3 linked regions of the Coturnix japonica genome follow. The protein of the gene in region 2 binds, or shares a complex with, the protein of the main gene of each other region. Links are inferred from orthologs where the notes say so. Each region holds a gene or a part of one and is shown on either strand. Other genes may lie near its edges. The genes, in order: CNOT7, CNOT10 and CNOT8.

Region 1 (3,649 bases), on a different chromosome or scaffold from region 2:
AAGAAAAGTTGCTAAGTGTTGCATATTGTGACTCAAAAATTGTCATGTTTGGTCTCTATTAAATGGCAGAGAATTGAACTGCTGTGCAGTGGTCCTTTATTGACTTTTATAAGTTATTTTCATACAAAAAACAGACTTACTCTAAGCTTCCCACCTACCTCTGCCCTCACATAGCCAAAAGTGAATTTTTAGCATTGATAAGACAAGTGTTTGAGGATGTGGAAACTGTTTGCTGCTCTTACAATGAATCCACAGTATGCTACTCTAACAAAAATGGACATCAGTGTACTACACAGCAGGCAGACTGTGACTAACTCGAGGTACTTGTGTAGTACAGGTTAAATTCCTGCTTGGGGTCTAAAAATCTTTTCATGCAGGCAACTCCATACAGTTTTTGCAGTAATAGCAGTTCTAAAGTAGATTTATAGGCTGTTCTTTCATTTTCTTCTGAATCCCTTTCTACTGCCTTTCTTCCCCACAAGTTAAATATTCTTATGTAGAGCGTGAAGTCTTTCCTGTAATAAAATTTCAGTAGCCTAATAATCTTTGGAGGCAATTGTAATGATATGTTTACAAATGTATCTACTGGTGACTATATGTATTGGAAGGGTTATTTTCAAAGCCTTCTTTGCTTTGCTGCTGTTCCTATAAATTTTGCAGCCACTGTGTAAATAGTACTGATTTGTGATATCAGGTGCTAAGTGAAGCTGGTATAGATAGCCTAACAGCTAGCACTACGTAATGATGAGGCGATGTTAAGTGTCAGCTTGGGAAAGTCAAGAGTTTACAAACAGCAAATAGTGCTTTGGAAAGGCAACTGCTGTTGCTAATGCCAATAGGAAAGTTAGGTTGTAGAGAATGTGCTTTTATTTGAGATCTGATTGATTTTCTGCCCATCATCCCTGAACTTCCTTAAGGGTCTAACTTAAACCACTGAATTAGTGTATATGCAGTGATTGAATGTTATCTCTAAGCAAAGGAAGAAAACAAACTTCAGTGCTTGACTGTACTACATATAGGGTAATTCTCAAATTTAAGCAAGTGATACTCACCTGTTCAAGCTAGAATAAAGCTAGACATGCCAGTACCGTGTTGGTTTGCTTGGTGTTACTTGGGAATGTTATTACTGGAGATTTGTTTTTAAGATGTGTTGCATTTAGATTCATAGAAATTTTCATAATGTTAGGTCTGACCTCTTGGTCAGATTTCTGTTAGTGTATCAATTCTAACACTGACTGTTATACTTTTACCTCTTATTGTTTCCTTTTCCGTGGTTGAAACAGGCTAAAGGTTTTGAGGACACAGGTAACCTCAGATGCTGGGCAGTATTGATTTAAGATCGTTTTGTCTGTGTGATGTTTTTACCCTGCAAAGGCTTGTATTTTCACTAAAGGCTTCTCCTTTTCTCCTTGGTTTTTGATCTTTCTGGACTATAAGGCACATGCCACATGCTTTAGTGCATTTCTAGGGATTTAAGGCTTAATGTTTTTTAAATAGTACAAAATTATATTCCCACAGTTTACAAAGATCACAGTTGAAGTATCATGCACATCACTTGAAAGATAGATGTATCTACATAAAACCAAACTAAATTTCTGACTGTTTGCTTCTGTAAATGGTTATTATAGGTCTTATAGGGGCAGGTAGGTTTGCAGTGATTTCTGTACCTTTTCAGTATGTTATTTCAAACCATGTGTCAGCATTCAGGCAGTGAGTGTTAAATGGTTCCTTTTTGCATGTGGGATGCTTATACTCTTCTGTAAGAGGTAAGTTTCATTCCATGTGGTGTGATTGTTAAATATACATCTCTGAGAGGAAGTTGACTTATGTCTTTGGTTTTCATTGTGTTGAAAAAACAACTTGCAAAACAGAAATCCATCATTTGTATGTTCTTTGTTCCTACCCTCTTGAGGCAGTTAATGGAACAAGTTTTAAAGATGAGTAGAATGTCTTGTAGGGTTGGGCTGTGTACTTGGGTTGTTTTTTTTTCCTTATTTTCCTGTAGCTTCCTAGATATTTAAGGATACTCCTAGTTTTTATAAAGGGAACTGAAAAACCCTCAAATGGTCTGTTAAAAAGTGGAAGAGAAAATGAGTCTGTTTCAGAGGAAGCCTGGATACTTTTAACAAAGCACCCATTTGTAAGAACTTGAATTCTTGTATTTGTAGAATGACATTTTTACTGTTTAAACTTTCATTCAAATAGAAGGGTTATAGGAACACCTTGTTTTGTTCTTCAGCTTTGCCAGTCCTTGCAACCTCTTGAAGGGATTGTTTTGTTAAGTAGCAGCGTCTGTTCCCTCGGGAGGATGGAACATGAAGCAGTAGTAGTTCTATTGGACACAGGCGCTGCTTGATTTAAGCTCCTCTGAGATGGAACTGAATTCAACTGTTGATAGAGAAAGCTTTATCTTCCATCAAAGAGACTATTTAAGCTTCTGTGCAAGCATTTAAAATATGCTGAAGTTGAAAGTCTGGTATAACAAGTTCTTCCCAAATACTGATGTTTGGTTTTGTTTTCATTTTTTTTTTCAGCAGTTAACAAATGTTTTCATTTTCAGGGTGGATTGCAAGAAGTGGCTGAGCAGTTAGAGCTGGAAAGGATAGGACCACAGCATCAGGCAGGATCTGATTCTTTGCTCACAGGAATGGCCTTTTTCAAAATGAGAGAAGTAGGTGCACGTGTCTTGGTTTTGTCTCCATAGTAGTAATTTGCTGTAATAGATGGAATTGCTGATTCTGTTACGTCTGATGAATTTTATGGTGATCTCTAAGGGGCTTCAGAGGCCCCTGCTTTCTTGACAGACTTAAGACTGTGTTTTCCCCAGACTAAGTGTAAACCAGCCCTACTGTTTTCCCTGTTTAGCTACTGTGAGCATCACTGCTTGTTTTCATTGTATGGCTGGCTTTGTTGTTGTTGTTGTTTCTTTCTTTCCATTGCCTGTTTTGCAGGATTTCTTCTGCAAAGTGGCTGCTGGAGCCAGGCTCTTTTCTGGGTAACTGTATTCGGGCTGCTTTTCTGCAGAGCTTCTGCTGAGCTGTAATACCCAGCTGGTGTGCACTGCTGCCTGTGCCAGGCCTAGCAGCAGGGAATGAGCAGCTCTGCCTGCGCTGGCTGCTTCCAGCTAAAACTTGCGGGGTACATATGTATTAAACCTGTAGGCTGCTGCAGAGAACGATGCAATTGTTCATCCTGAGTTCACCTTTGGTAAAGCACAGACAAAATAACTCAGATTCTAAAACATGTCAGTCAATTTTGCAGAAAGGGAAATCAAGACTTGTAAGCTTTGTGTGTCCATGCTACTTGTCTGCATGCATTGGGAGAATATTAGGATATTTTGTATGAGCAGAATAAACAAATTCTAAACAGGCTTCTTGAAAGCAGTTACACTGGACAAATGCTGGGGCATCTGAATGTGACATTCTGCCAGGAATTTGGTGTCATTTAATAGTGGCGATAGCGAGCCTCATCTTTTTGTAGGGTTTAGTGTTGAATGCTGAGGCTTCTACTTGCTGTAACGTGGCCTTTTTTATAAAGGAAAAAAGCCGACTGTGAGTTTCTAACAACTGCTAGTGAAACAGCAGATGAAATATAAGTGCTGTGATGTAATCTGGCTTGCTCATCACAATGCTGTTCTCCTCTCCTGAAA
Region 2 (3,649 bases):
TTCTATTTAGAATATCAACAACAAATTTATACAATTCCTATCTGCAAGAGGCAAACGTGCATTTTATTCACTGGCAAACATTCAACAGCTTTACATTCAAATACCAAAACATCAGCACATAAAACAACAAATTAATTAAAATAATTTAACCTGTAAATCCCAGACAGTTACCTGTTCAACCAATAAGCAAAAGGTGATAGTGAAGCATATTGTTTCTTCACTCATTTTCCCAAAGAGCAGTACTGGGAAATAAAACCTCACTGATTTAGACTGTCTTGCAGACAAACAAATGTAAGATTATTAGAGCTAAATGCCATTTAACAAAATTATGTTAAGATGTAGGTATTGAAACTGGGATTTTTCTTAGGTCAGTTTCTCCTGTACGTGGATCTTAAAAAAAAGGGTCAGTTAAATTCATTTTTCTGACCTACAAAATGAAATTGAAGATGACAATATCACAATTCATGCTGAGCTAGATTTGAGGCAGGCAGCTCTCAGTTTTAAGGAAGACTGAATGGATATTCTTGTACAAATCACACACACACCCACCTGATGTATTTTAGATTTAGCAGCTTCTATTAAAGCTCCACTTTCAGCTTTTTGATTGGAGGAATCTTTATTTGTATTATTACCTGACTGTCAAAAGAAAACAAAAAACAGAAATAAATAAAAAAGCATTAGGAGCTTATGAAGGAAACCGTAAACTGAACTTAAAAGGTGATTGGTAAAAACAATCTCTTTTAATGATGAAAACTGATATTCAATAATGTTAAAAGAAAAACAAACAAATACAAAAATGTCCATATATTCCACCAAAAACTTGTAACTTAAGCTTTGCAATCAAAACCAAAGAAGGAGGACATCAGCCTATGAGGTACAGAGCTCTATATGAAGGTTAGCATTACGCTAATCTGCTCCAGCATTGAGGAATTCTAAGAATGCTCTTATTCAGAAATATAGTTTGCATGCTCCTGATTCTCTTCTCCATATTTTCTCTGGCAGAACTATTATATACTCAAAAATAAAGTTGTATCTTAAGTGTGACATTTTATCAACAGGAGAAGACAAAAGTGTCCACTTTCCACTTCCAAGCCACTACCCATTCTATAGTAGTTTCCAAAAGGTACATATCAAAGATTGCATTTGAAAGCCCACCTCATACTTCCAGACAATACATTAAAGGAATTTTTGACTTCTCACCCTGTGGCACTAATTTCACTGACATTTCAAACACAGAGTATCACACAGTCGTCATCTGGGACACCAGGAAAACCAAGTATATTTGGCACTGAAGACAACTGACTTTCTAATATAAGTCTCTGACTTGGGACACTTCTTAGCTCTTGGCACAAAAAGGGTGGGAAGGAAAGAACATACAGCTACTGTACACAATTAACTTGGTTATTAAAATGTGGCAGTTGTCTGAAGTTACAGATATCTTAACAGCTTTAAAATTCTGAACTATTTTAAAAGACTACTTTTGGATTTAATAAAAACATACCTTTGGTAAAGACAGCGGCATTCATGCCATTTTAAGCTTACCTCATTTTTTCCATTCTTGCTGTTATTGTTGCCCTGTGAAATCATTTTTTCCAGGACAGCAAGGAGATGCAAGGCCTTCTCAGCCTGGTAAGTCAGCAGGTATAAGTCCACAAGCAGGAAGCACACAGCCTGGGCAAACTTCTCCTCTATATCAAACAAAAGTAGATCAGTATTAGGACTGTAAGATCCTTCCTATCTAAACAATCACAGAACAAAAAAAGCAATAATTAGAAAACCACTTTAACAGCTGCAAAGTGCATCTACACAATGTTATGAGAAAAACCAAATACTAAATAAGAAAAAAAGATAAAAAAGCAGACACCTACATCACACAGACAAGTATGTTAACACAAAGAGGTAATTCTTTCATACCCATGTCATCTGAAAGCAAAGACCAAAGACAGCTTAAAAATCACTTCACATTGATTTTGAGTACTGATCTAAGCACACTGGCACCAAGGATCCAGCGTCTAAAGAGACTGATGGGCCATAAGCCTATACAGAATCTTACAGAACTTAAGGATTCCATACAAACACATCTCTGCATGGCTGGTTTCACAGAGTAAGCTCCACACAGGCATACTGAGAACTGAGGGAGAAACAGCATTATACTTACTGGATTTGTTGAGACCCACACATACAAACACTTCATCCCTGTTGCTTCATAAAATACCTCCTGAAGTTGTCAAATATCTGTTTTAGTTTTGTTATACTCATCTGCTAAGTGTCTCTGAAGCACCTTCCCACCCAAATTCAAATGCTGTCCTTATAAGTAAAGATTACTCATCATTCCTAAGCCTGTCTTTTTTTTATTACTATTATGTACGTTTACAAGTCACTTTTCTGATAAGCAGAGGAAGATCATTTACTCTGCCTCGTTACTGCACAAACAAAACTCTTCTGCCTACACACCGAAAGGCTCTATAAACTGGTACAGCTTCTCTCCAACTGATATAGCTTCAGTATACTGACGCAGATGATACAAAATAACAGCTTGATTGTAGTAAAGCATACTATTTTCAACATCATCTAAACCATCCATTTCTTCAACAGCAGAGTGAACCTGAAAAAAAACCCAAAACACACAGAACTGAATCTTGTTTATCCTTAAGCTTTCCAAACTTATGATGTTAAAGCATCAAATGTTTATTATAGAAAAATAATCCAAAGGTACTAATGAGCCTAAAGATAGGGCAGTAACAGTTACAAGTTAACAAAGGGAAGAGGCAAAACTTGTCTTCCTATTTCACTGGAAGATCCCATCCCCATTAACAATGCTTAAATATCATGCAGTGGTTGCATTACCTGGTTCTTCAGCTGGTTCAGGGTTTGTCTCAAATTGTCTGTTGTGGTCTGGTTACTTTTACAAAACTCTGCAACTGCAGTATTCAAAGTTATTTTGTAGTCATCTTTGTTTATGTCTTGAAGGGTGTTCAGGTGTTGCAAACAGGCATCATAATTTCCCGCCTGGAAACAGCAGGCATCACAAAGGGATTAGTTTAAACTTTGTATCCTCTAATAAGTCAATAATTTTTAATGGCAGCCTCCTCCTCTCTCTGAGTCTAGAGAGCAATGTAGGATTTCCCTGACCAACACAAGTAAACAGCTCCACACCAACTCCATTTGTCATGCAGACTGAAATGTATGAGAAGCAAGTCAAAGCTGAGGTCCTAACTAAAACTGAACAAGAATTCAATGGAGAAAGAACAAATAGAACAGTTAACTATTACAAACATGTTTCTACAAAAACTGTTGTTCTTTTGGCGTCATTATATCAAGCTTCAAGATTCTTTATTTCCTCAGTTTCCACAATCTGTCTCCATCACACGTACACTGAGCAGCTGCCTGTCTAACTCGTGGCCCACCTTTTTATGTTTGTCTCTCACTTCATCTTCAGACTGAGTTCCAGTTTAGCCCCTGGATGTCTGCTTAACACAGGCCGGCAGAAGAGGAAGGTTACACACCTTTCCTAACTTTCCCAAGAGAGCCTTAATTTATGTTGCTGAATGAATTATTCAAGAATATTATGCTCACCTTGAGGTGCCATCCAACCCAAGCCATTCTATGATACGATTCTATGATTCTATGGAAATGTACGCACTGGCTT
Region 3 (4,135 bases), on a different chromosome or scaffold from region 2:
ACAGCTTCACCATGTAGCCGAAGTCATAACCACTGAAAACAAACATAGAGAAACCTGATAAACAACACCTGTACTCAGCTGGTATCAGTGTTACATTCGTCTCATTAGGGTGTTTTTCTATACTTACAACCTTCTTTTCCATAGAGGAAGATAACAGCAAAACACGCACAAAATACAGATCACAGAAGGTGCTGAGATAAAATGAAGTACCAGTACTTAAAGTTCGCCTTTACAATTTAAAACTTATATTAAGAACTGCACAGCTGCTAAAATCCATCTCCTTAAGGTCTGTTAGTCTCTATGGTCCAAAGCAGCACTATTTAAGCCAAAAAGAGGCATCTTGTTCTGTAGTACCAGTAATCACCTCAGACCTACCTGTGAAACGACAGCCATTTCACGCTGTCACTAAGGACGACCCCTGAAGTCATGAGCAACTCAGCAAAATGCAGGGTATCAATCCCTTCTTCTTCATGCTTCTGGAACTGCAGCCCAGAGCTTGCAAGGAGGTCTATGGAATCCTGAGAGTACATATCCTCCCTGAAGGAGAAAAGCAGAGCTTTGCAGTCAGGGTGCTAACAAGGAAGGCTCATTGCCAAAAGATTTCTCACAAGTTGCATTTTGGAAAATCAGAGTGACCTGCAGGCAATCCATCTCTGAGCTCCATGGCTGTGTCTCTAGGAAGCTCAAATCACTTTTAATACCATTACTCCTATGCATTTAACAAGCTATTCTGCAATCTTAACCAAATATTAATTCTGTCGCTATTGCCAAACCTGAAGAATGCCATAAAACCTTCACACAACAGACATCTTGAAAAGTAACACTGAGGGAACAGAAGTGCCACAGATGATGGGAGAGAAGTCAACAAAACTCATATCAAACACGATAACTTTGAGTCACAGTGTCAATAAAACTCAAACCAAACATGATAACTTTGAGTCAAATAGCGTTCAGTGTCAAAACCTCTTTGTTATGACTCCAATGCTTTTAGGAGGCTGACAGTTGTGCAAGTAAACACTGCCACTTCTGTTTGCAAGAACTGCATGATCAGCTTATAGTAAGTATATAGTAAGTATACATGCATTTAATTGATTACATAAAATATATGGAAATGTATAAAAAGCACGTAAAGTTTGAGATCATAACATCATTCCAGAAATACTGCAATGCCTGTCATGCCGGCATTGAGCCTCACATAATCTCTTCTGGTGTTGCTCCCTAATGCAGAAGACTCACGTGAGGTTGAATTTGAAGTTAAACTGCCAGGTGTTGATCCCAGAAGGATACTCTCCTTTCTCGTTTGTGAAAGTCAGGCCCAGTTGGATGATTTTCAGAAGGTCCACATTACAGCGAAGAAGCTGATACTGATAGTCTATGGAACTGCGGAATTCCCCAATCGGCCTTACAACAACCCCAGGAAACTCCGTGTCCTAGAAAAGGAAGAGGAAACCTTATGGCTGCAAATCAAGGCAGACCCTAACGACAAAGCAAGCAATTTGTGCTCTCAAGTCAAATGACATCAATTGACTCAGAACACACAAAAACTTTCATAGAGGATCCAGCACATGAGAGAATTTTTGCCTTCACATCTTCCTGTACCCACTGCCTCAGCACAGCAATTACAACAGGCCAGAATGAGATGATATTGAAGCAAGGCAGCTCGTTTCCAATCAACATACAATATGAAATATGTAGATACACATTTACTGTTTACTTACACAACTTTGTTCTGCGCTGAATTCTATGCGCTCTGAAGGCACGTGTATTTTTACATCATGCTTTCATTACAAATTTCTCTCCTATCTTTGAGTTTAGCATCCCCACTCAAAGCTGTCATAACCACCACAGAATCATCGACTCTGGAAAAGATCTCTGGGTCCAACTATCGTTAGCCCCTATTCCTTGAATAAGACAAATGAGTCAAGCATTTACCATTGCGATGTAGCTGTAACTCAGCACAATCTCTCGGATTTTCCTCATCTCCTCCTCCAGGTTGTTGGCCCACACCTCACAGATCACCTGGCTGTTCTCCGCCAGGGCTGCTGGCATCCTGCCGGGCACAGGGCACAGCCAGCTCCCCCCAATCCTTCAGATGGCCGCGTTACAACCGAAAGCTGCGAGATCTAATCAGTGTGCTGCAAGAAACAGACAGAACGGAGCTATGAGTGAAAAAAGAGCTAGAAAAAAGGAACGAGCTGCACAATACAGCACAATACAGCACAGTACGGCACAGCACAGCACAGTACGGCACAGTACGGCACAATACGGCACAACACGGCACAATATGGCACAGTACGGCACAATATGGCACAGTACGGCACAATATGGCACAGTACGGCACAATATGGCACAGTACGGCACAATATGGCACAGTACGGCACAATATAGCACAATACGGCACAATATAGCACAATATAGCACAGTACGGCACAATATGGCACAGTACAGCACAACACGGCACAATACGGCACAGTACGGCACAATATGGCACAGTACGGCACAATACGGCACATCATCACCACCATCGGCCTCCCCGAGGCAGCCGCCAACAAACAACGGCCCAGCGCCGCCCCAGGCCCGGTTGAGGCCTACACGACCCGCGCCGCCTCAGGGCAGGGGCCCACCCGGACACGGCCGCCACCGCCGCCCTCCACCGCACCGCGAGAGGCCCCGCACCTACCGGGACCTACCGGGACCCGCTGGGACCCTCCGTGCCTCCCTTTCCCGTCCCGTCCCGCCCCGCTCTCCCGCTGCTCCGCTCCCCATCTCCTTCCCCTCCCCCAGGCGCTACCTGCCCTACCCGGAAGTTGTGGCCGTGCCTCTCTCTCTCTCTTCAGCGCATGCGCGATGACGCCTCAGGCTGAGGTGGGATTTCCGGGTTTGGAGCTTTGTTCTCGCGAGATTTCCGGTACAGCCTCAGCGGCGCGCGGTGCGGTGTGTGGTGGCGCGCGCTTGGTGCGCGCTCCCGCGGAGGGGGAACGGGGAAAGCTGCGCATGCGCAGTGCTGGTGTCCTTGTGTGTCCGGCCGTGACGTGGCGCTGCGCTGTGACCCGGTGTATAAAGCAAAGCAAGGCATCCTTTAATCTTAAAGGCTGTAAATCCCTCAGATAGAAGCTATATCTGAACTGAACGGGGGTTAAAATGAACGCTGACATTGCACAGTTCACTCTTATCGCCTGCTTTAGCATATTAGATGAATTATGTCACCAGAGCGAGCCTAAATAACATGCAAATAACCCAAATAACTGGGCAACCTGTATATGGGGTAAGTGGTGCAGATTGGGGCCATATCTGCATCAAGTTACACCTCGCAGTGCTGTAATTACAGGCGTTGTGGTCTATAAGTGCATTGAAACACCACTGAGCACAACCACATCGGAACCTGTTTGCATCTCATCCCATAGACAGGACCTATAGACGGAGCTTTGATGCAGGGACAGCTGGTGCAGGTTATATATGTAGTGAGATGTGCTGCTGGCTTTACAGACTGCCCCGTAACTCACACGCATTGCACAAATGCGCCTTTGAGCCATTCGGTTGCATTGGCATCAGCTGCTTTGTGCTGAAAACACTAGTTAGTTTCTGGTAGAAATGACTTATCGTTAAGGTATAGCTGCCTTTTTTATTCACATATACAGCCATTCAACCCTGATGACAAACTCCTACCTACAGAGATGTATTCTGAGCACTGGGCTGAGTGGCAACAGGGAGCAGTGCCAGCACTAACAGTGACACGGTGCTGGCTTCACATGACTTGTCTGGGAGGGGACAGCCAACTCCTGCTTGGAAACACCCCGCTGTTAAACCCTCATAAAGTCTCCCCAGCAGTAGTGAAAGGTGAGGAGTTGTACTGTGTACAAAGGACCTCTACTGGGCTACAGCCAGCAGGAGGTGAGCAAAGAGACGGAGCTCAAAGGTATCGTGGCTTAAAAATACCCGATTGAAACCTTAGAAATAACTAAAGGGCAATGTCCTGTGTATGTTTAAAATACAACTGTAAGCTTTTCCAGGAGCTGTAATTGCCTTCTGAGCTATGCAGGGCTTGGCACAATAGGGGAGCCACCAGACACAGCATCTAGTCCTGTATCTGACTGTACAGCGTGGCTGATGCACAGCTTTTGTGGACAGCAGGTAG

The links.
Region 1: CNOT10 (region 2) and CNOT7 share a complex: the UniProt entries of both Homo sapiens proteins name them as parts of the CCR4-NOT complex. The link is inferred for Coturnix japonica from reciprocal best matches to the Homo sapiens genes CNOT10 and CNOT7.
Region 3: CNOT10 (region 2) and CNOT8 share a complex: the UniProt entries of both Homo sapiens proteins name them as parts of the CCR4-NOT complex. The link is inferred for Coturnix japonica from reciprocal best matches to the Homo sapiens genes CNOT10 and CNOT8.

Annotation. Positions count from the first base shown.
Region 1 is NC_029519.1:56,947,940-56,951,588, forward strand, and holds part of CNOT7 (CCR4-NOT transcription complex subunit 7), read left to right. Parts: intron 1-2,560; coding exon 2,561-2,671; intron 2,672-3,649. UniProt on the Homo sapiens protein: Has 3'-5' poly(A) exoribonuclease activity for synthetic poly(A) RNA substrate. Its function seems to be partially redundant with that of CNOT8.
Region 2 is NC_029517.1:37,323,414-37,327,062, reverse strand, and holds part of CNOT10 (CCR4-NOT transcription complex subunit 10), read right to left. Parts: intron 3,010-3,649; coding exon 2,848-3,009; intron 2,606-2,847; coding exon 2,455-2,605; intron 1,689-2,454; coding exon 1,543-1,688; intron 637-1,542; coding exon 550-636; intron 1-549. UniProt on the Homo sapiens protein: Component of the CCR4-NOT complex which is one of the major cellular mRNA deadenylases and is linked to various cellular processes including bulk mRNA degradation, miRNA-mediated repression, translational repression during translational initiation and general transcription regulation.
Region 3 is NC_029528.1:5,997,901-6,002,035, reverse strand, and holds the start of CNOT8 (CCR4-NOT transcription complex subunit 8), read right to left. Parts: upstream 2,893-4,135; 5' UTR 2,801-2,892; exon of another isoform or gene 2,512-2,800; intron 2,136-2,511; 5' UTR 2,050-2,135; coding exon 1,933-2,049; intron 1,431-1,932; coding exon 1,237-1,430; intron 538-1,236; coding exon 376-537; intron 33-375; coding exon 1-32. Other genes in the region: FAXDC2 (fatty acid hydroxylase domain-containing protein 2), read left to right, coding at 3,675-3,916, 4,002-4,131. UniProt on the Homo sapiens protein: Has 3'-5' poly(A) exoribonuclease activity for synthetic poly(A) RNA substrate. Its function seems to be partially redundant with that of CNOT7.